6 linked regions of the Callithrix jacchus genome follow. The protein of the gene in region 6 purifies or fractionates together with the protein of the main gene of each other region. This does not show direct contact. Links are inferred from orthologs where the notes say so. Each region holds a gene or a part of one and is shown on either strand. Other genes may lie near its edges. The genes, in order: UBE3A, CEP170, ECI2, ECH1, NEURL4 and MAPK6.

Region 1 (3,034 bases), on a different chromosome or scaffold from region 6:
GCTAAACATGGGAAATTTGTTGAACCATTGCTTCCTCAGATGTTCCTTCGGTGTCATTCTTATCTCCATTCTAGTAGGCCTCTGACAATACAGATGTTGAGTCATCTGTTACTGTCCCACACGTACTTGAGGCACAGCTCATCTTTCACTCTGTCTTCTCTCTTTTGTTCAGATTTCTATCCTTCGTCATCTTCTCTCTGCTGTTGGGCCCATCTAATGATTATTTTTCGCTTATTGTATTTTTTAGGTCTATAATTTCCATTGGCTTTTTTTTCCTTATAACTTCTGTTTCTTTGCTGAGATTTTCTATTGTTTCATTTTTGAAACAGTAGAACTTATAATTGCTTGTCAAATCATTTCTATGATGGCTGCATTAAGATCCTTGTCAGATAATTTCAACATCTTACTCATCCCAGTGTTGGCGTTGATTTTCTTTCCTTCGTGTGATTTTCCTGGTTCTTGGTATGACAGATGTGTGAGGAGACTGTCCTTCTAAAAATTGTTACTTCGGTGGTAACCTGTTGAGGTTTGGCGCATGTTTGTGGACTGTGGTTCCAGTGACCCTTTTCAGAGCCTTTGTGGTGCTGTTTTGGTTTGTTGCTTTTATGTTACTCCGCTGGGGCTTTCACTGGTTCCGAGTGGTCCTGCTTGAGGGGGCTTCTCCAAGCTGATCTGTGTAGAGTGTGTTTGGGTGGGGGAAGAGGGACCCCCCACTAGATTTTCGTGGGCTGGAGAGTGCTTCCTGAGCCTTGTGCCTATCGTGGCAAGCTCTCCCATGCCTGGTGTTCCTGGCAGTGCTCCTGCCTGCTGTGTGTCCCTGGGCTATAGATCACTTGCAGGAAAAGTGAACACTGCCAGACCAATTAATTATATGAGAATTCCTCCTACCCCAAGGAGAGTCTCAGGCATCGCTTCATTTCTTTTTTTAGATGTTTCTTCTGTCTTCAGTTTATATGGTACTATTGTTGTGCTTTATTCACTTTTATATTTCTTCTACTTTAGTTTTAGTTTCTTTGCATTTGATGTGATCTTTCTCCTTGCCTTTTTTTTTGTTTTTTTTGAGACAGAGTTTTGTTCGTTACCCAGGCTGGAGTGCAATGGCGCGATGTCAGCTCACCACAACCTCCGCGCCTCCTGGGTTCAGGCAATTCTCCTGCCTCAGCCTCCTGAGTAGCTGGGATTACAGGCACGCGCCACCATGCCCAGCTAATTTTTGTATTTTTAGTAGAGATGGGGTTTCACCATGTTGACCAGGATGGTCTTGATCTCCTGACCTCATGATCCACCCACCTCGGCCTCCCAAAGTGCTGGGATTACAGGCGTCAGCCACTGCACCCGGCCGCCAGGAATTCTAATAAAGGTTTTAATTTATTTCAGATTAATGGTGTTGTAGCAACAAAAATGCCAGCATTTTGATAATAAAAATAGTATGTTGGAATATTAGAGTATCAAAAACTAGAAAAAATATATATAATTACTGATTTGGGATGTGTGATGTTCTCTGCTAACCATTCTGGAAAGAACTTTTTCTTTTTTGGTGGGGAAGTGGGGTGGAGTTTTGCTCGTTTCCCAGGATGGAGTGCAGTGGCGTGACCTCAGCTCATTGCAGCCTCCACCTCCTGAGTTCAAGTGATTATCCTGCCTCAGCCTCCCAAATAGCCAACAAACCCAGCTAATTTTTCTGTATTAGTAGAGGCAGGGTATTTCACCATGTTTTTCAGGCTGGTCTTGAACCCCTCACCTGAGGTGATCCACCCACCTCAGCCTCCCAAAGTGCTGGGATTACAGGCGTGAGCCACTGCACCTGGCTCTGGAAATAGCTTTGTAAATAAATATTAAGAGGCATTTTATATTTATAACCAACTAAAAATACTTTCGTTGAATCTTAAAATTATTTAGCTATGAACTACTGTATATTTTATAGATGCCTGATTATTCAAACAGACTTCAAGATAGCACTTCATGAGCTTGCATTTCACATTTTAGAACTGTAACATTAAGTGTCATTTAAACATGGCTTTATTACGCAGATTTTAGGAATGCCACAGGGATAAATCATTCTCTTATAATAACTGCATTATTATATATTATATTATTTTATATTATATGGGAGAAATGTCAGAATAATTCTCCTCCGTACACAGCACATGTTAGTTGATAAAAGTATTCTAGTTTATATAAAAATTGAACTGTTGTATTACTGCCATTAGGTATGTGGTGGTTTGAATTTGGCGCCAGGTGGGTTTGGGGGGCGGGGCGCTTTTTCTTTTGTCCTTAATCTGTATCACCACTTTTTCCTCCCAAAGTTGCGTTAAAGGATGAGTAGACCAGGAGAATAAAAGAGAAAGGATAAATAAAATATATACCCAAAGGCACCTGGAATTTTTCACAATATTCCTTTCAGTCTTTTTCAATTCATAGGATTTGGTCTTTTGTTCATTACTGACCACGTGAAGTGATTACAACATAGTTTACATAGTCACTTCCTGTTGTTACACACTTGGGTTTTCTCAGTTTTTTTTTTACTACTGCAGTACTAATATTTTGCTGCATTACTTTAATCCTAAATTGTTATGTATTCAGAACTGTTTACGGAAAATTTGTTTGGAAATTCTCAGTCACCAGAAGAGTTCCTGATATTAACTTCCAAGTTGCCTCTTAATATAGTTTTAGTTTAAATCATAAGTTTATATTAGTACCAGTTATAATGAATGCCAAGCTGAAACCAGTATTGTATCTTTTCTCATTAGGGAGTTCTGGGAAATCGTTCATTCATTTACAGATGAACAGAAAAGACTCTTCTTGCAGTTTACCACAGGCACAGACAGAGCACCTGTGGGAGGACTAGGAAAATTAAAGATGATTATAGCCAAAAATGGCCCAGACACGGAAAGGTAATTATTAAGTTGTGACTATATATCCACTGAAAACCTTCCATTCCCCGTCATACATGTATGAACTGTCTTTGTAGCTTCTAAGCACATTCGTGATTTTATATACAAATCTCCAAATCATATTAAACAGTTAAGAAAAT
Region 2 (3,500 bases), on a different chromosome or scaffold from region 6:
ACTGTACTAGGTAGGATATCAGTATTATTTATCCGATTCATATAAAGAGCCTATTTGTGAGTGTTAACCTATATACATATAAATTATATAAATATAAATAAAATGTCTCAGTTATGTATTTTCCAGAAGGTCACAATCATGTCTCAAAAATACATATGCCAGGTAATTGCTGATAATTATAATTAAATATTATAATAGGCTCCAATCCAAATAATTATTAGGTAATCACATCATCTCACAGTCCTGAAATGTCTTAGAAGCAAATCAGAAATAAGTATACGAATACTATTTCTTCATTACTTGTTCGAATGCCAGGGCATAAGGTATAGATTAAATCAAGCCTAGTCTTGTCACTGACAGAGAAGTTACCCATTGTTTATTCAAATGAGTACCTATCACCTGCTTGAGTACCAGATAAAGTATCAGGAGCACAAAAACTCCTAATATAGTGACAGAATGGTCAGATAAACATATAATCACAATTTGTTCAAAGTCATTTTCCTTATAGAAAGCTTGTTAAATTAAAATAAGATAGAGTAACATAAATGTATATTCAGTAATTCTAAAATAAATTCAATTGGTAAAAACAATGAGAAAAAAACCTGATCAGCTGATACATAAATGTACAAACATACAAATTTTGCTAATTTTGGCCAAGTTCTACACAAATAAAGTATATATAACTATTTCAAAAATAAACATTCAACTCTAATTTTCCTTAAGTCTGAATATTAAAAATTTTTAAACTGGATTAATAGATCCTACCAAATATTTCTAAACCAAAAATCTCTGTTTTATGAGTAGCCACTGAGAATACTTTAAAGCACTTCATCCATGATTTGACTGTATTACCCAAGCGGAACTTTTGGCTCACACCGAATGGCTTAAAATTTCTTTCAAAATCTAGAAATTGATCATAATAGAGAACAGAATTGAATACATATTTTCCTTAAATCAAGAAAATGATGGAACTCGTCTTCTAGAAAATTCTACTGGTGAACTTAATAAATTATATATGTCCAGGAAGAAAAAGAAACATATTTTACAGCATAAATATAAGCTCATAAATCCAATCTGGTTTTGTCAAAGAAATGAAGAAAGACAATTTTGAATGAGGAAGTGGGACATGAGCAGTGTGGCTTCATGTTGAGTTTTAAAATTAAATATAACCTTTGAAAAAAGCAGAACGTTTTCTACCATGTAATTCTCTAAAAGTAGCATAGTAACTGAAGACTAGATTTCCTTTATCACAAAACAGGAAGTTCTGAATGATCAAATCACTTTACCTTTCAACCTTTTCAAGTACACTGGAACATCACTTTTAATGCTTTTAGAATCCTCTTCTGTTCTTTCCCAAACCATTTGAGGAGGGTTGTTTTGTGCTAGCCAGTCAGCGACTTTGTTTTCTGGTGCCATCATTCCTGTTTGAATCCCCAGCAAGTCTTGAGTTCCAGGAGAAGACTTCTTGGACTTGTGGCGTTGATCAGAAGTAAATTTTGTCACATGGTCTCTAATAGTTACCTTCCCTGGGGTACTGTCATCAAATTCAATTGTAAATGAAGCATGCCCTGCACCTGTTATATGGGAACTTGGTGTGTCTTTTGTTGGGATTTCATGAATAGTGCTCTCTGTTATTTGTGATGGTTGCTGGAATTCTTTGGTAGGGATTTCAAAATAACTTGGTTCCCTACAGAAAGGAAAAAGTACTTCTTCATTTGCGGCTGCAGATTGTTCCTCAACTTGCTTGGCATCTATGCTGCACCCTAATGAGAAAAATAAGAGAAAATTCAAAATATTTGATTGCTTCTGGTACTTGAAGGAGTCTGGTAATGGCCATGTGTACTACTCCGTGAGAACCAGATGGCAGATCATAGTCTGGATGACCCAGTGGCATTTATATCACAGAAAAAGTGTCACAGAGCAGAAAGAATCTTCGTTAAAAACATGCTATTTGATTACCAATAGGGGATGCAAGATAAGCAGTAGTAATGGCAAATGAGAACAAAGCAGTTAAGAAATGGATCTTCTGTGGCTAGGTCCATATTTTTTCCAACTCAGATCTAGAATTCATCAAGGTGCAAAAGAATTAAAATTAAATGCAGATGGAGATGCATGTTCAATGTATACATAAAAAGTGACAGAAAAACCATGAACTTCCTTCTCAAGTCACCAAGATGAGATATCTGAAATATATATGAACACATGTAGTGCTCCAAAGGAGAACAGGTGCTCAATTGAGAATACAAACATAAAGTAAATACGTGAGTGATCTTCAGGAAATAATGATTCCACTTACCATTCTTCATCATTACATTCAGAAACATGACTTTTAGAATGACAAAGAAGTTGCCAAGTGTGATCCTTGCAAGAAGATACCAACATTTTATAAAGACTGAAATGTGTGGTTTGCAATCCAAGCAGCAGTGTTAAAGAAATAAGGTTAAAACAGAAAATTCAGTTTCCAGACAATAACTCTGGAAGAAAATCAATTTGCATTTCTATGCAGCAGAATGTGCGCAAGTGTCAAAAATCCTTGGAGGAAAGCTGAACTGTAAACCTCAGATTAACATGAGTTGACAGAAGGAGCAGGCAACTCTGAAACACTATCACTATTCTTCTATTGCCTCAGAATCTAATATAAAAGTATAAAAATAGATGCATTTACGAATAAAATACATAAATGGAAATGGTAACTAAAATGTTTTCAGTATGTTATTAGATAGCGTAAATGCAAAAGAAAAAAAATTAAAGATGATATTGTGCTGTTGTTGAAGAAGCAAAAGAAGCATGTCCATTATCAAGATGAAGAGAAAGTTCAAATGAGATTTATTTCCCTAAAGGTCAAGAATCCATTCTGCTTTTAAACAGATTGACAGAAAAATCATTTACAGACAACTTATTAGGAAAACAAGGCAGTACACAGAGACAAGGTTGTTTCCAAACATTTTCTAATTTAGTGAAGCATCTGGTCTTTTGAAACATCTTTATAAAGATTAAATCTTAGTGGGATCTGTCAGGTACTATAATTGGTTTCTTGACAGTAGTCTGAATATAATAAAAAAATCTTGACTGCTTTTAGGTTACAGAAGAATGCTACAATAACTTCCCTGTAGTAATCAAATGTGTGGGATAGGGCACTGAAGACGTGAAGCCCCATTTTCACAATAAAGATAATAACAAGAATTGTAAAAAGAAATCTAAACAGGAGGCAAAGATAACAAGTAATATTAAAGAATATATTATAATTTTCACTGTAAAAAATTATCCCTTTCAAAATCTACTCAGTTTTCCTTATCACTGAAAATGAAAGAATAGTATTGGAAAAACTCTACATTATCATAGAAATAATTATACATTTATACAACATGAACTAAAGTTTTAAAAAAATGTTTGATTAAAGAGTTATCTTTTTTCTTAAAAATAAAATGTTCACCTGGACTTTGAGTGTTTACTCTTAAGTCATGTCAGTTAAAATTTCCATTAGAATAAAATGTATTAAC
Region 3 (4,284 bases), on a different chromosome or scaffold from region 6:
TTTTTAGGACAGACAGAGCTTCACCATGTTGGCCAGGCTGGTCTCGAACTCTTGACCTCAAGGGATCAACCCGACTCAGCCTCCCAAATGCTGGAATTAGGTGTGAGCCACCACACCTGGCCTCATCTATCCCTTTCTTTCTTTTTGTGCTTAGAGAACTTCAACTATCCATGCTGTTTCACCTCTATATCCTTAGTACCCATTTCTTAAAAATATCAACATTTATGTAACCTTGACACCATTAACAATGATTTCTAAGCATCTTCTAATACTCTGTCCTTATTCAAAACTTCCCCAATTGTCTTAAAAATATCTTTTTCAATTGGTTTATTCCAATTAAGAGCCAAATAAGGTCTACAAATTTGAATATTATATTTCGTAAGTCTCTTTTACTCTGGCATGACACAGAGGGGTTACTTTATTAATAGTATTTCAAGGTAATATTAAAAAATGACACACACACATATATATATATACTCTTAAGAGGGAGCAAGACAAACCCAAAATATTAAGGCTACATTTTAGTAAACACACAGTGTATCTATTTAAGGAGTCATTTGCCCAACATTCTTTAAATAATGTCAGACAGTTGGCATTTACCTGCTTATACAGTGCGTAGAGTTTTAGCTTCACTTCGTTTCCTGGATCCTTCTTCAAGAGTTTCACTTGATTCACTGCATTTTCAAAGTCCTTCTGACTGGCTCTCATTGCTGTTCTATTCATGTGCAGCTGAACTACTGGGAAACTAACAACCTGCAGATGACTACAATGAGGCAGACTGATGTCTACTTGTTCCCAACCCTCACATTTCTGCAGCCTGATTTCTAATTGTTCCCAGCCCATACATAGCAAAATCCCATGTTTGTCCATAAATATTTTCTTTATACTTGCCCTAGCAAACTGGCTGCAAATAATTGGCTGTAAGGATTTCAAGATAAGAAATCAATACAGAAGCTCATGGTAAATAAAATAAATAAATAAAGGGAAAAGTAACCATCCAGTGAGGTATTTGTAAGCAATTAAAGATAAAAGCAGCCAAAACAGGAATGACTATGTAAATTTTGCCATAGGCAAGAAGTAAATGAAAAGCATGCAAGATAGTGAACAGCAGGAGACCAAAGGCTAAGTGCACAGAATTTAGTGCAGTGTCCCAAAGTCCTAAAACAGCTTCTGCACTCACTGCTAAACAACCCATAAACTAATATCAGGTCAATTTTTCCCTCTTTGCTGGCAAAACCGGTGATCCAACATATACACAGGTGATAGGAGGGGAGAATGGCTGAACATACAAGAAATGTTCAAAAGGACATTATGTACAGATGATGGCATTCCAGACAGAGCCACAGCCTTCTCAGCAGGTGGGAGGGAATCTATCTGCAGCGCAAGGGAGTCAGTGAAGCGGGCTCAGCAGGCTTGTCCCTTTCTATGGGGCTGTTTAGCCAGCCAGCCAGGAGCAGAGCAGAAACAGCAAGCACCGCGGGGTGATCAGCACGTTTTTAAGCATACACAGTGAACAGGGGTGGGGTGGCAAACTTCAAAGGACTCAGGCCACAAGCAAAACATGAATGTTCACGACGATGACCCTGAATAAGGAAGTTAATGGCATCAAAGATGATTAAAATAATACAGGTTACAAAGCTCAAACCTAACATGTATCACCCCCCAAACACAATTATGTAACTAGAAAATGGTACAATGAACTCTAGGTTCAAACCTTGGACTTAGTAATTGATTCAGTAAGATCAGTCTACAGTAAGTTTTTTTTTTTTTTTCTTTATTTTTTAAAGACGGGGTTTCACCATGTTGGTCAGGCTGGTCTTGAACTCCCGACCTCAGGTGATCCGCCCGCCTTGGCCTCCAAAGTGCTTGGATTACAGGCGTGAGCCACCACGCCCGGCCTACAGTAAGTTTTATATTAAATTGCTTTTCTGTAAAGGGAAAAACTGCAACTTACATGACAAATTCCAAGCAGAAAACGAAAGAAAAATTTAAAGTGTCCACAGAAAGCCGAAATGTGCGTTTCCACAAAATGTGGAACAAATTTATTTTTAAATAATGCGTGAGTTTTAAAAACAAATTGCAAAAACACGACCATATAGGAAAATACCTAAGGTCTGGAAAATCACTCATAATTCCACCACTTCAAGGTCACCATCATGTTCCGGTTTTGTTCCCTATACACGGATTCGGGCTGGGTTCCCCGCATCCCAGGGAGGTGGAGCGCGCTTCCTAGCCGTCGCCGCGCACACGGCCACTTCGCTTCACTGCATACGTGTTCTCCAAAAAGCAAAGAGCGTTAAGTCCACACGAGTGATAACTGCTTACGTTTACCTCACTTTTAGCAAGCAACGCTTTGCACCCCAGAAGCATCCCGGCTGGGAAGTGCAGGCCCGGCCGCCGGAAGAAGCACCGTGCCCAGCGGGGGCGGCTCCAGGGCCCGGAGTCCGGCCCCAGGAGGATGGGAGCACTGCGCGGCCGCCGGCGGAGACCTCGGGGACTGGGAACAGAGAGCCGCAGCCCTGATCTCACGACGCGTCCATCCTGACCACTCTGGGCCCAGCGGTGCAGGAGGGCGCGCGCGTTAGGTGGTCACTCCAGCGAACTCTCGCTGGAAAACCAGCAAAACAAAATTCTGTAGCCACCCAGACAAGATAACGGCGGGGGGGCGCTCCCACCGGCGGCGACCTTCGCCTGGACAGCCGTCTCCTGTGGGCGACCTTGGGCAGGGCGGCCGGGGCTCCAGGCTTACCTCGGACACGAACGCTGCGCCAGTCTCCAGGCCGGGTTTGCCATATCTAGCCCCGACCTTGGGCGTCCGGGGCTCTAAGGCGGCGGGGTTCGGGGGCGGGGCCGGGGCTCTGGGACTGCCGAGGCTCGGGGGTGGGGAAGGGCGGAGAACGACCAGGGCTGGGGGCGGGGTCAGGCTGAAAGTGAAGCCGGAACCCGAGGCGGGGCGTGGGCGGGACCGGGGCTCTAGGCAGTTAGGAGGCGGGGCTGAGATGCGGGGGCGGGGGCGGGGCCGGAGTTGGGTGCGGGGAGCGGGGCCGGGTATTCCCGGAGTGGAAGAAGGGCGTGGGGCGCGGGGACGTTGACCCGGGAAGGACCTCAGCGGCGCGTGGGGCAGGGCACAAATGCTTCCGGGCCTGGCTCCAAGAATCTGCGACCTGGGGCCCGGCTGCTCCCTCCGGCGGACCTCAGCTCTGAGAACTCTGCGGCTGCCGGAGCTCGGAGCCCCCTGCCCGGGGCCCTGGGGAGCCTGGCGAGGAGGGGTCGCTGCGTCCCGAGGGCCAGCCGTGAGCCGGGAGGCGGGATAGCAATTGAGGGCGTGTGCTTAAAAGCGGCTATGTCATGCACCCCCAAATCGAAGGCCTGCAGACCTGGTAGGACGCCGGAGGATCAGAAGTGATTTGTGAGGTATCCAACTCTTTAGTGTCAGAGTTTGGATATTTTTGAGTTGTGCTGAGGCATTTGCAAAGTATTTTCTTTGGGGAAGAATTCTTAAAAGTTGGAAGGGCCTTGGCTGTGCCACCTTGTCCAGTTCCCAGAGAATCAAACAACAAAACAAAACCACCCCTCTAAATCCGGTGCCCCAGGTGTGCTATTCAAGCATGCCTAGGCGTTTTAGATTTATGTAGCTGACACTTGTGGACTACCTATAGTGAGCCAGGCTAATTGTAATTCTTTCAACAACACTGTAAGGAAAATGATATTGCCCTGTTGAGCATATTGCCCTGTTGAACTGATGTGGAAACAGACCCAGAAAGATTAATCCGGTGACTTGCCCAAAGGCATGACACTTGCAGGTGGGCATGTTGCAGGATGAGCCGGTGACAGAGCTCTTCAGACACGCGAGTAAGGAAGGAAGAGCTAGCTGTGGAGCATTGGTGGACTCGAGTCCAGAAACAGAGCTCCCCGAAAAGCAGTTTTTTTCTCTTTTTAAAGGCATACAACCCAAGGGGGGAGCAAAGGTAAAACTGTCATTGCCTATTGGCTGGACATCTGACCTTACAGTCGTTGGCCTTCATTGATTTGCTAATTTACATGTGGAAGGGAAAAGAGAAAGAATTACAGAAGTTAAACAAAGGCAGTAAGTCACTCGGGTGACAGAGGTATTTCTAAGGGTTGGGTCTAGATTGTACAAACGTGGTCTACGTGCCTCAGAGCAGGTCCTTGGGCTGCAGGAAAAACATTATTTTGCAACATTTTCAAGGCTGATAAATAACATAGGCACCAGTTACAGAGAGGGGAGTTATTTTCTCAGCCCTTGGTCCCCACTGTGGTTGG
Region 4 (3,956 bases), on a different chromosome or scaffold from region 6:
GATTAGGTGACAAAGATTTTAAATCAGTCATTATGCTCAATGGCAGAAAGAAAAATCTGCATGACAAATAAAAAAATATATAACTGACCAGGCACACTGGATCATGCCCGTAATCCCAGCACTTTGGGAGGACGAGGTGGGCAGATCACTTGAGGCCAGGAGTTCAAGACCAGCCTGGCCAACATGGTGAGACCCTGTCTCTACCAAAAATAGAAAATTTAGTGGGGCATGCTCCCGGGCACCTGTAATCCCAGCTACTTGGGAGGCTGAGGCAGAAGAATCACTTGAATCCACGAGGCAGAGGTTGCAGTGAGCCAAGATCGCTGTTTAAGGTCTCTTAGGCTGACTGACTGCACCATGGACTATGCCATGGTAATCTCTTTAACCTGCACGTACACTCCAGATGAGTTCCTGGAACTGGAAAGTCTGAAGTAGCTGAAAAACCACGAAAAGGTGAAGAATGATCAACCCCTTCGGTGCCTAATTAACTCTGAGATGCTCTAGTATTCCTTATTCCCACCTCAACTGATAAGGCAACTGGACTTTGTGACCGACCCTGGTCAACCTTGTGACTCCAGACCCTACAACCCCCTCCCAGCTCGCAAAAGCCACCCTGAACTGTAACTTCTGTAACTTTCCACCACCCTACCCCAAACCTATAAAAGCAACTCCTAACCCACCATCCTGTGTTGACTCTCTTTGGACTCAGCCCACCCGCACCCGGATGAATAAACAGCCATGTTGCTCACACAAAGCCTGTTTGGGGGAGGGTCTCTTCATTCAGAGTGCACGTTTAACAAACGGGCCACTACCCCGGCAACAAGAGCGAAACTCCGTCTCAAAAAAAAAAAAAAATCACTGGATGTGCTTCACAGGAGGGTAGAGATGGAGGAAGAGTTAGCACCTGTGATCAGTGGAAATTCTCCAATCTGAAGAACAGACCAGTGGGTCAATCCAAAGATCTAACTGACATGTAACTGGAAATCAGTTCGTGAGTTGAATAGTTGCATGAAAGCATGTTATTATATTATATAACATAAACTCTGAGAAGTTAAGCACCTTATTCATGGCCAGAGATCCAGGATGAAACCCAGATTTCAGAGCTATGATCCCGTCATGTTCTGTTGGACTAATTTTTATATTTGAATGTTTTAAATTAGGCCTTTAAAAAAAAATGATAGGGCTGGCTGTGGTGGCACCTGCCTGTAATCCCAGCACTTTGGGAGGCTGAGGTAAGAGGCTTGCTTGAGCCCAGGTATTTGAGGTTACAGTGATTTGTGATTAGGCCATTGTACTCCAGCCTGGGTGAAGGGGCAAGATCCCATTTCAAAAAAAAAAAAAAAAAAAAAAAAGGCGCGGTGGCTCACACCTGTAATTCTAGCACTTTGGGAGGCTTAGGTGAGTGGATCATGAGGTCAGAAGTTCAAGACCAGCCGGCCAAGATGGTGAAACCCCATCTCTACTAAAAATACAAAAATTAGCCAGGCACAGTGGCAGGCACCTGTAATTCCAGCTACTCGGGAGGCTGAGGCAGGAGAACTGCTTGAACCCGGGCGGCAGAGGTTGAAGTAAGCCGAGATCGCGCCACTGTATTCCAGCCTGGGCGATAGAGTGAGACTCTGTCTCAGAAAAAAAAAAACTGATAAGTGTAAGTTAGAAGCTGCTTAAAACCCTAATTAAGAAGCGCTGCCCTACTGTCTATTGCCAGGAGCTAGGAAGGCTGGTAGCGTGGGCATGAAGAGTGGAGAGTCCAGTACCTGCAGTGAACATTTTTCCTGCACCAGAGATCACCACTGCCCGACAGTCAGCGTCTCTTGAAATCTTGTTGAAGCACTCTACCATCTCTCTGTGAAGCAATGAGTAAAGGGCTACAGATGGGGTGGGAAATACCCTGTCCTCATGTCCATCTCCCCTGCCCACATTCCACTCTCCACTCTCGCCCAGTCCCACAGCCCCCACCTCCCCGTGCAGGCAGGCTTCCAAGATCTGCAGGTCGGACCTCCAGAAAGCCCTGTTCATGGCATTCCTCTTGTTGGGCCGATTGAGCTGAACATGCAGAACATGTTTCTGTACAGATGTCACACGAAGGGACTCATAACTGTGGTCTGGGGCTTCACCGTGGGCTACTCCGGAGGCCTCCTGTTGTGCAGAGGAGCCAGTGAGGCGAAGGCTAATACCGAGGCCCGGGTGGTTGGAGGCTGTCAGTCCTGGGGAGAAAGGGAGAGCTTTTGATGACCCTGGACTGCAAGACACGGGTCTATAGAATTAGGGAGCCCTGGCCTGGTGCGGTGGCCTGTAATCCCAGCACTTTGGGAGGCTGAAGCGGGCGGATCATGAGGTCAGGAGCTGGAGATCAGCCTGACCAACATGATGAAACCCCATCTCTACTAAAAATACAAAAAATTAGCTGGGCGTGGTGTTGCATGCCTGTAATCCCAGCTACCTGGGAGGCTGAGGCAGGAGAATCGCTTGAACCCGAAAGGCAGAGGTTGCAGTGAGCCCAGATTGTGCCTGTGCACTCCAGCCTGGGCAACAAGAGCAAAATTAAGTCTCAAAAAAAAAAAAAAAAAAAAAAAAAAGAATTAAGGAGCCCTTCAGAAGGGAGCACAGGGATCCCTGAGTTTAGGGGGCTTGGGCCCTTTGTGACCCGGGATAGACCTCCCCGTCCTACAGCTGCTATGACAGCACGACAGCGCGATGGACCCCCACAAGTCAAAAGGTGACTCACGCCGGGTCAGCAAGTCGCGGAGTCTGCGAGAAGCCACCATTCCTGCCGCCATCGCTCCTGCCATCGTCTACTGAATATTCTGACCCACAAACCCCCGCGTTAGCCGAGGGGGCGGGCACAAAAGGCCGCCATGTTGAGCGAGGGCGTCGATGCCACAGCATGACAAGCAATGACGCCGTTTGTACCGCCATCTTTACTAAGGGCAGCCGAGTTCCGGTTGCCTGGCACAATTACAGCCAGACTCAGAAACTGCCCTTTGCCCCAGTGGGAACCTGGACTAAGCAAATAGTTCCCGCTGACGTTCAACACAGTGCTGTTTCATAATGATGGAATAACTCGTGACAGCTGAAAAGTTCAAGGACATAATGGCAGCAGCGCTTGTAATCATGCATGTATATATCAAGTAAACTAAAAAGAAAAAAAACTTGCAGGACTGTGAGTTTACCCACGTAAAGGAATGAGTACAGATGGGCCAACATTAAGCGCTGACTGTATAATATGAACTCCCACGAGATCATACTATTTCCCACTGTATGCAGAGGAAACTGGCCCAGGCACCGCAACGCACTAGGTTCAAGGTCGCTGGGCTTCAGAAAGGCTAAAGCATGATTACCTGGCTCCAGAGTTCATGTTCTTAGCCGGGAGTGGTGGCTCACACCTGTAATCCCAGCACTTTGGGAGGCTGAGGCGGGTGGATTATGTGAGGTCAGGAGTTTGAGACTAGCCTGGTGAACATGGTGAAACACTGTCTCTATTAAAAATACAAAAATTAACCAGGCCTGGTGGCGCACATCTGTAGTCCCAGCTACTTGGAAGGCTAAGGCAAGAGAATCACTTGAACCTGGGAGGCAGAGGTTGCAGTGAGCCGAGATTGCTCCAGTGCACTCCAACCTGGGCAACAGAGCAACACTCTGTCTCAAAAAAAAAAAAAAAAAAAAAAAAAAATTCCTGTTCTTAAAAAACACAAAATGGAACTCCCTTAGGAAAAGCCAGTTACCCAAGGGCATAAAACAGTACTGTAAAACTGCTTAAGTATGCTCCTTAGGGAGACACGGAGCAAGGTGGTGAACACATGTCTCTGGGCCAATGGGACTGAAGGAAGTATCTTTTCTTTCTAATGAACCTGTCTCCTGTCTGGTTTCACAGACTAGAGAAACAGGCTCTTTTGGAAGACAGAACTATTAACTACCCATCAACAGCAGACTGTTTATATCATGGAAAACTCTGA
Region 5 (4,085 bases), on a different chromosome or scaffold from region 6:
TGACTGGGCCCGGAACCAAGGACAACTATCCCCGTGGAGCGCCAGCTTGCACCAGTACTGCGAGTTAAACTGCCTTCTGAGAGCACTAGGGGCCTAGAACCGTGAAACAAGACTACTCCGGAAGGCTGCCCAGCGCCTGCCTCGATTTCTCTCACCGCTCGGGGCACTCCTCCCGCTGCCCCTCCAGGGGAGTCCCGGCTGAGGCCGCCAGTAGCCCCTAGGGACTCCACCTTCTCCGAGGCCCCACCCGGGGGCCGCTCTCAGCGATCCCGCCCCGCCTCCCGGCTCCACTAGCCGCGCCCCTAGCCCCGCCCCCACGTAGGGCCGGCCAGGGGTGCTCCGGCAGAGTGCCGGGTCCCCTTCTCCTCTGCTCCCGAGCCGCGGCGGGTGGAATCGAGACTCGGGCTGGAAGTCCCTCCACTCGCCCCTTTCCTTTGTTCCACCTAAAGACTCTTCCTTTGTGCGATTTGTTCCCGCCCTTCTCCATCACCACCCTCATCCAAATCAGCCAATCCCAGTCAGGGGGCCAGGCCAGGGGGCGAGAAGCTCGATTGTGACGTCACGGTCCTTCAGCCTGAGGGTGAGCGTCGGGGAGTTGGGCTGGGGGCTTAATGGCCCTAGGGGAGATTTTTTTGGGGTCCTCAGCGCCGTTGCTCGAAACTGCCTGTCAGGATTCTTTAGACTATTTTTGGCCTTAACATCGACTAGTTTGGTTGAGTTGGAGTTGAGGCTGAGCTTGACTTGAAATATCAGCGAGCTTCCCCCAGCCCCGCCAGTCGGCTCGCTCGGTCTCTCCGGAGAGTTGTGAGGCAAAGTAGAGGGATTGCGGCACTGTCGCAAGACACGTTGATCTCAGTGACCTTGCGGGCATAGACTTTCACTACCACTTCCCGGGGTCCTCCAGACTCGGCTCAAGCTGTTTCGGAGCGTGCAGCCAGAAGGGACTCACTCCCCCCTCTTGCCGTAAAGCGAGTGCTTCAAGGTGTCTCCTCCCCCAAGCCAGGGCGGAGTTGTCGGTACCGCTGTCGCAAAGCAGAAAGTGTTTAGACTCCAGCACCCCACCGTCGTAAAGATGCTTGCGGTGGGCGTGTCTTCCACTGTCGCAAAAGCTCCCTTCCCAAGTCTTCGTCCCTCTCGGAGCCACTCCGTCACCCCGCTATGCCGTAAAGTGAGCCTCCCGACCTCGTTGTCCTTCGGTTCTCACCGTGGTCGTCCCCAGCTCCTAGCTCGGGCTGCTTCATTGCCCAGCAGTGCCGTAAAGCATACCTGGCCTCAGCCCCCGGTCGTATTCCTCAGGGTGTCTGCCCGCCGCGGTTGCCACGGTGCCGCCAAGCGCGGCTGTCGCGCTGCCCCGGTGTCAGCGGAGATGGCGGCGGGGTCGGGTGGGAGTGGGGGCTCTGGGGGAGGCCCCGGACCGGTGCCGGGCGGGGGTGGGGGCCCCAGCGGAAGCAGCTCAGGACCGGGGTCCAGCGGGGTTCTCAGTAGCGGCGGGGAGCTACATCCGCGTACTGGGCGCTTGGTGAGCCTGTCGGCCTGTGGGCGTACAGCGCGGCGGCAGCAGCCGGGCCAGGAGTTTAACCACGGGCTGGTGTTGAGCCGAGAACCCTTGCGCGATGGACGCGTCTTCACCGTCCGCATCGACCGCAAGGTGCAGCGCTGGGTTCGCGGAACCGAGATGTGGAGGGCGGTGGGAGGGGACTAGAGGGAGACGGGGTAGGACAGCCTGGGTAGCTCACATCGCCGGGCACCGAGGGAACCGAAAGGTGATAGAGCACCAGGGGACGGGCAGGAAGACAGCATGAATCAGAAACATTCAGTTTGAAGGAGAAGACATTAAGAGCTTGAGTTTTCTCAAGATCCAGAAGCAAAGAAGGGACACAAGGGCTAAGTCGCTAGACTGGCTGGGACTAGACCTCCTGGTACAATTTCTTGGGCGTGGAGGATGGAGAGATGTCAGAGATGCGATGGCAAGAGAAGAGAGATACCAAGGAACGAACAAACCTAATCCCAGCCCTTTGGGAGTCTGAGGTGGTCAGATCACTTGAGGTCAGGGATTCAAGACCAGCCTAGTAAATGTGATGAAACAACCCCGTCTCTACTAAAAATACAAAAATTAGCCATGCGTGGTGGCGTGCCCCTGTAATCCCAGCTACTCTGGAGTCTGAGGCGGGAGAATGGTTTGAACTTGGGAGGCGGAGGTTGCAGTGAGCCGAGATCGTGCCACTGCACTCCAGCCTGGGCAACAGAATGAGTGAGACTCTGTCTCAAAAAAAACCAAAAAAACAAAAACAACAACAACAAAAAAAACCCAGCAATAACAAACCATTGAAGGACAAACTCACAGGCTGTGCCAGAAAGAGGTGAGGAGAACTATCCAGGGTGAGGGAGGTGTGTGTGATTCACTGAAGAGGCTACACTCACAGAAAAAGAACTTGGGAGAAGGCTGAATCTGGGTAGAGCCTGATCCTTGGAGAGAATTAGGCCAAGGGAAGGGAATGATACACAAGAGCAAGAGGTGTGGGTATAGGAAGTTGGTGAATTTGGATGGTTGGAGAGCCATAGAGACCAGGGAAGTCAGAGGAGACAGGAGGCTAGAACTAAGGAACGCTTGTTTGGCTTGGAAAGGAGTGGTGCGGTAAACACTGAGTAGAAAGCAGAGTTGCTAAAGGAAAGAAAGCCCAAATAATTACCAAGCCAGAGTCCAGAAAATTACTATTTGCATCTCTGGATTAGTGTTCCAAGAGAAAGCCAGTTAGCTATCTGAGAGGTGGGAAGATATGGTAGTCTGTGGAATAAGGGGTGGCCCATTTTAAGCCTCTGTCCACTACCCCTATCCCAGGTCAACTCCTGGAGTGGCTCCATTGAGATTGGGGTGACAGCGCTGGATCCCAGTGTGCTGGACTTTCCAAGCAGTGCCACAGGGCTGAAGGGGGGCTCATGGGTAGTGTCAGGCTGCTCTGTGCTGAGAGATGGACGCTCTGTGTTGGAGGAGTATGGTCAGGACCTGGACCAGCTTGGCGAAGGGGACCGTGTGGGCGTGGAGCGCACAGCTGCTGGGGAGCTGCGGCTCTGGGTGAATGGGCGGGATTGTGGAGTGGCTGCCACAGGCCTGCCCCCTCGTGTCTGGGCTGTCGTGGACCTTTATGGCAAGTGCACCCAGATCACTGTGCTACCCTCTGAGCCAGGCTTCAGCCCCCCTACTCCCATCCCCACACCTCCCCTCGAGCCCTTGGCCCCCCTTGAAGACTCTGCCTTGGCTGAACAGGGGACCTCTGCTGATGAAGGTAAGAAAAGAGCTAGGGCAGTGGTGGCGGGGTGGGGATGGAATGGGGGAAATAACAGTGACAAGACAGGCTGGGTGTGGGCAGGGCCATTCTGATCCCCAAGTCTGTTGAATGGGAGAGCGGGAGCTAGAAGATGGGGGGTCTCCTGGCTGTGGGCCCTGAATTAGGGACTGAACCCTTATTCCCCTCCCATCCTACCTGGTCCCCAGCCTTCATGGTGTCCCCAGCGCAGGCCCGGCCGGAGACGTTTCCTAACAGCCTTGAGTCGCATAATGGTGAGGGCTTTGGGGAGGCCCAGGGAAGGGGAGTGGGAAGTGAAGTGGACAAGGGAAGGCCCTCAGAAGAAGGGGTACAGAGAGAGGCACCAAGCCTGGGGGCATAGAGCCTCATCCCAGCTTTCTTCTTCCATCCTGCTGCTATAGACTTCGCCAGCATGGAGCTGTCCGAGGTGGTGAGCAACACCATCCTGTCTGCCTACAGTGGAGGGCTCCTGAATGTGAACCTGAGCTCCCCACCGGCAGGGGAAGGCCTGGGGTCTAGCGGTGCTGCCACCTCTCCCATTCTCACTTCCAACGATGCCCTGCTATTTCATGAAAAGTGTGGGACCCTCATCAAACTCAGCAACAATAATAAAACAGCTGAGCGCAGGCGGCCCCTGGATGAATTCAACAATGGGGTTGTCATGACCAACCGCCCACTTCGGGACAATGAGATGTTTGAGGTGTGCAAAGTCCTGTGGTCTGGTTGTCGCCTTGTCCCTGGGAGCTAAAGATGGGGCTTGGCCCTTGATGCTAGGAGGGT
Region 6 (3,500 bases):
AAAAGACAAAATTTAACTCTCATACATTGCTGGCGGGAATGTAAAATGGTACAGCTGTGCTGGAAAACTGTTCTTCAAAGATTTACCACGCGACTCAGCAATTCCAATCCTAGGTACATATACCCAAGAGAACTGAAAACATGTTCACACAAAAACTTGCACACAAATATTCACAGCAGCATTATTCATAATTAAGAAAAAGTAGAAACCCACATGTCCATCAACTGATGAATGGATAAACAACACATGGTATATTAATATAGCAGAATACTATTTGCCCATAAAAAGGAAAAAATTACTAACATATGCCACAACATGGGTGAACCTACAAAATACTGCTACATGAAAGAAGCCTGTCACAAAGTCCAAATGTTATATGAAACATTCAGAGCAGGCAAATCCGCAGAGACATAAAGTAGATTAGTGGTTGTCAGGAGCTGGGGAAAAGGGGAAATGAGAAGTGTCTGCTAATGGTTGCAGGATCTTTTAGGAGCAAAGACAGTGTTCCAAAATTAGACTCTGGTGATGGTTACACAACTCTGTAAATACACTAAAAAATATAACTGTATACTTTAAAAAGATTTACTGGCTTTCTCCTTGCTTTCTTTTGAATCATTAGTTCTAGAGGAAGTCAGCTGCCATATTATGAAGACACTCAAGCAATCCTATGGAGAAGCTCACATGGTGAGGAACCGAAGCCTCTTGGTAACTGTCATGTAAGTAAGCTATCTAGAAGTGGATCCTCCTGCCTTGGTCAAACCTTCAGGTAACTGCTGCCCTTAACAACAACTTGACTGAGAAAACCTGAGCTAAAACTAAACCACTCCCACATTTTGACAAGCAGAAACTGTTAAGACAATAATAAATGTTTGTTGTTTAAGCTACTAAGTTTTGGAGTAATTTGTCACACCACAACAAATAATACGGAATTATTTGTATATGCTGGAAGGCACTTGATATCAGCAACAAAACCTCCAATCACAGTATTGTTCTTAAGCAAAAAAAAAAAAAAAAAAAAAAAAAATCCATTTAATCATTTAGCTTCCAGGAATCCCTCATATTTTTTCATAGTGATTGAATTTCAATTTAGAAAACTATCACACATCTTAGGAAAAAAAAAATTTCTTTATTTTTTTTCTTGAGACAGAGTCTTGCTCTGTTGCCCAGGCTGGAGTGCAGGGGTGTGATCTCGGCTCACTGCAAACTCAGCTTCCCGGATTCAAGAGATTTTCCTGCCTCAGCCTCCCAAGTAGCTGGGATTACAGGCACACGCCACCAAGCCTGGCTAATTTTTGTATTTTTAGTAGAGATGGACCTTCACTATGTTGGCCAGGCTGGTCTTGAACTCCTGACCTTGTGATCCGCCCACCTTGGCCTCCCAAAGTGCTGGGATTACAGGCATGAGCCACCACGCCAAGCAATTTTTTTTTTTAAAACAGTGTCATTCTCTGTTGCTCAGGCTGACTGCAATGGTGTGATCCTGGCTCACTGCAGCCTCAGACTCCCCAGTAGCTGGGATAAAGGCGTTAGCCACCACGCCCAGCTAATTTTATTTTTAGTAGAGATGAGGTTTTACTATGTTGGCCAGGCTGGTCTTGAACTCCTGACCTCCAGTGATCCACCCACCTCAGCCTCCCAAAAGTGCTGGGATGTATGAGCCACCACATGCACCCAAGCCAGAAATTTTACATAAATATAAAAAAAAAATTATAAAGGACTGGTCAATGTTATATAAACTAAGTACTGGCATTAATATACTTAAAAGACATTTATGCATGCTGTCCTTTCTTAACCAGTGCTCTCCTATGTACACTAATCTTTCGTATGTAAATAGACCCTGGCCTATTCCTCTCCTTCTGCTCTTGCCACAGTCCAGGAGTTGGCGGGGGAGGGCCACTCTAAAAATTGTTATAGTGGGGAAAAAAGTAGTGTCAAGGCCAGGCGCAGTGGCTCACCCCTGTAATCCCAGTACTTTGGGAGGCCAAGGCAGGCAGATCATGAGGTTAGGAGTTCAAGACCAACTTGGCCATCATGGTGAAACCCCATCTCTACTAAAAATACAGAAAATTAGCCAGGCATGCCAGTGCACACCTGTAATCCCAGCTACTCAGGAGGCTGGGGCAGAAGAACTGCTTGATCCTGAGAGACGGAGGTTGCAGTGAGCCGGGATCTTGCCACTGCACTCCAGCCAAGGCAACAGAGCGAGACTCCATCTCAAAACAAAATAAAACAAAAAAATAATGTCAAAAGACAGAAAAAGGCCTAAATCACTACCACATCACTTCCCCAACTAAAAAAATTTTCAGAACCCTTTTTTTTTTTTTTTTACTTTTCCAAATGGAAAGTCCTCTACCTACTTTCTAAAATACTTTCTAGTATTCGGACCCCATCTTAACTAGTCATAAATATGTTTATTGTTATTTGACAACGTGCATGAATCTCAGATTCATGAATGCCCTAGGCTTATGCTTTTATTTATATGGGTACCCTTAAATAACACATTTTCTCTCTTCCCCAGTTAAAATTCCTCGCTATTTCTAAATAGTGAAAAATCTTTTGGACTCCATAATACCTTCCATTCTAGCAATCACTGATGCATAGCTTCTCTAAGTTTATAGCTCTAGTCTATATTAAATAATTTTATACAGACACATGCTTTGCTTTATGACAAGACATTTTTCATGGATGATTTATCTCATCTTGACAAAGTTCTCTCTCACATACTTCTTTACACTTCTAAATAGCACCAAACTTAAAAAATTACTTGTTTATTTATAGAGGGAGGGGACCAAGAAACATTTGTTGGATTTTCAACAATAGCTTAAAATTTTCACCAGGAAGTGACCACACTGACAGAATTATGCAACTCAAATATCAACACAAATTACCAACAAGTATTATGGGTCCACAACATATGAAATTATATCTGAACACTAGAGTTCTGATAATTTATCAAGTGACCAATTTAGCAAATATGTGAATAAGTTTTCTCAATTTTTTAAATAAAAACACCAATTTATCTGTTCATTTTAGTATTCTAGATCACAACAAATTATTTTAAATCTTATGTGGATCTTGCTTCAGAGATAAATGCAAAATTATTTCTCTTTGGGATAACTTTTTTCCCCACAAAATACTAACCTGCAAAAAGGGTTTTACCAGTCAGCATTTCAGCAAAGATGCAGCCTGCTGCCCACATGTCAATGGCTTTCGTGTAATTATTAGGAGAAAGTAAAAGACGTGGAGATCTGTACCATTTAGTAACCAATCCTTCAGAAAGATGACCCTACAAAAGAAACAAACATAACATACATACCTTTTTTTTACTTTACCTAAAGAATAGCACTTAAAACTTTAACCCTAGCATTTTGGAAAGCTGAGGTGGGTGGATTGCTTGAGACCTGGAGTTTGAGACCAGCCTGGGCAACATGGGGAAACCTATCTCTACTAAAAATACAAAAATTAGCCTGGCATGGTAGTGCATGCCTAGCATCCCAGCT

What was found.
Region 1: the proteins of MAPK6 (region 6) and UBE3A purify together in Homo sapiens (affinity purification with mass spectrometry; 3 studies listed by BioGRID and IntAct, with this or other methods). This does not show direct contact. The link is inferred for Callithrix jacchus from reciprocal best matches to the Homo sapiens genes MAPK6 and UBE3A.
Region 2: the proteins of MAPK6 (region 6) and CEP170 purify together in Homo sapiens (affinity purification with mass spectrometry; 3 studies listed by BioGRID and IntAct, with this or other methods). This does not show direct contact. The link is inferred for Callithrix jacchus from reciprocal best matches to the Homo sapiens genes MAPK6 and CEP170.
Region 3: the proteins of MAPK6 (region 6) and ECI2 purify together in Homo sapiens (affinity purification with mass spectrometry; 3 studies listed by BioGRID and IntAct, with this or other methods). This does not show direct contact. The link is inferred for Callithrix jacchus from reciprocal best matches to the Homo sapiens genes MAPK6 and ECI2.
Region 4: the proteins of MAPK6 (region 6) and ECH1 purify together in Homo sapiens (affinity purification with mass spectrometry; 3 studies listed by BioGRID and IntAct, with this or other methods). This does not show direct contact. The link is inferred for Callithrix jacchus from reciprocal best matches to the Homo sapiens genes MAPK6 and ECH1.
Region 5: the proteins of MAPK6 (region 6) and NEURL4 purify together in Homo sapiens (affinity purification with mass spectrometry; 6 studies listed by BioGRID and IntAct, counting the BioPlex papers as one, with this or other methods). This does not show direct contact. The link is inferred for Callithrix jacchus from reciprocal best matches to the Homo sapiens genes MAPK6 and NEURL4.

The regions. Positions count from the first base shown.
Region 1 is NC_133507.1:4,598,063-4,601,096, forward strand, and holds part of UBE3A (ubiquitin-protein ligase E3A), read left to right. Parts: intron 1-2,750; coding exon 2,751-2,894; intron 2,895-3,034. UniProt on the Homo sapiens protein: E3 ubiquitin-protein ligase which accepts ubiquitin from an E2 ubiquitin-conjugating enzyme in the form of a thioester and transfers it to its substrates.
Region 2 is NC_133520.1:42,946,952-42,950,451, reverse strand, and holds part of CEP170 (centrosomal protein of 170 kDa), read right to left. Parts: intron 1,764-3,500; coding exon 1,287-1,763; intron 1-1,286.
Region 3 is NC_133505.1:26,392,816-26,397,099, reverse strand, and holds the start of ECI2 (enoyl-CoA delta isomerase 2), read right to left. Parts: upstream 2,801-4,284; 5' UTR 2,794-2,800; coding exon of another isoform or gene 2,750-2,793; intron 2,609-2,749; exon of another isoform or gene 2,332-2,608; intron 2,278-2,331; 5' UTR 2,131-2,277; coding exon 1,955-2,130; intron 764-1,954; coding exon 601-763; intron 1-600. UniProt on the Homo sapiens protein: Able to isomerize both 3-cis and 3-trans double bonds into the 2-trans form in a range of enoyl-CoA species. Has a preference for 3-trans substrates.
Region 4 is NC_133523.1:34,385,852-34,389,807, forward strand, and holds the start of ECH1 (delta(3,5)-Delta(2,4)-dienoyl-CoA isomerase, mitochondrial), read right to left. Parts: upstream 2,801-3,956; 5' UTR 2,793-2,800; coding exon 2,729-2,792; intron 2,208-2,728; coding exon 2,000-2,207; intron 1,847-1,999; coding exon 1,758-1,846; intron 436-1,757; coding exon 397-435; intron 1-396. UniProt on the Homo sapiens protein: Isomerization of 3-trans,5-cis-dienoyl-CoA to 2-trans,4-trans-dienoyl-CoA.
Region 5 is NC_133506.1:73,812,029-73,816,113, reverse strand, and holds the start of NEURL4 (neuralized-like protein 4), read left to right. Parts: upstream 1-1,285; 5' UTR 1,286-1,366; coding exon 1,367-1,648; exon of another isoform or gene 1,649-2,360; intron 2,361-2,839; coding exon 2,840-3,284; intron 3,285-3,493; coding exon 3,494-3,559; intron 3,560-3,706; coding exon 3,707-4,005; intron 4,006-4,085. UniProt on the Homo sapiens protein: Promotes CCP110 ubiquitination and proteasome-dependent degradation. By counteracting accumulation of CP110, maintains normal centriolar homeostasis and preventing formation of ectopic microtubular organizing centers.
Region 6 is NC_133509.1:39,734,697-39,738,196, reverse strand, and holds part of MAPK6 (mitogen-activated protein kinase 6), read right to left. Parts: intron 3,287-3,500; coding exon 3,142-3,286; intron 1-3,141. UniProt on the Homo sapiens protein: Atypical MAPK protein. Phosphorylates microtubule-associated protein 2 (MAP2) and MAPKAPK5.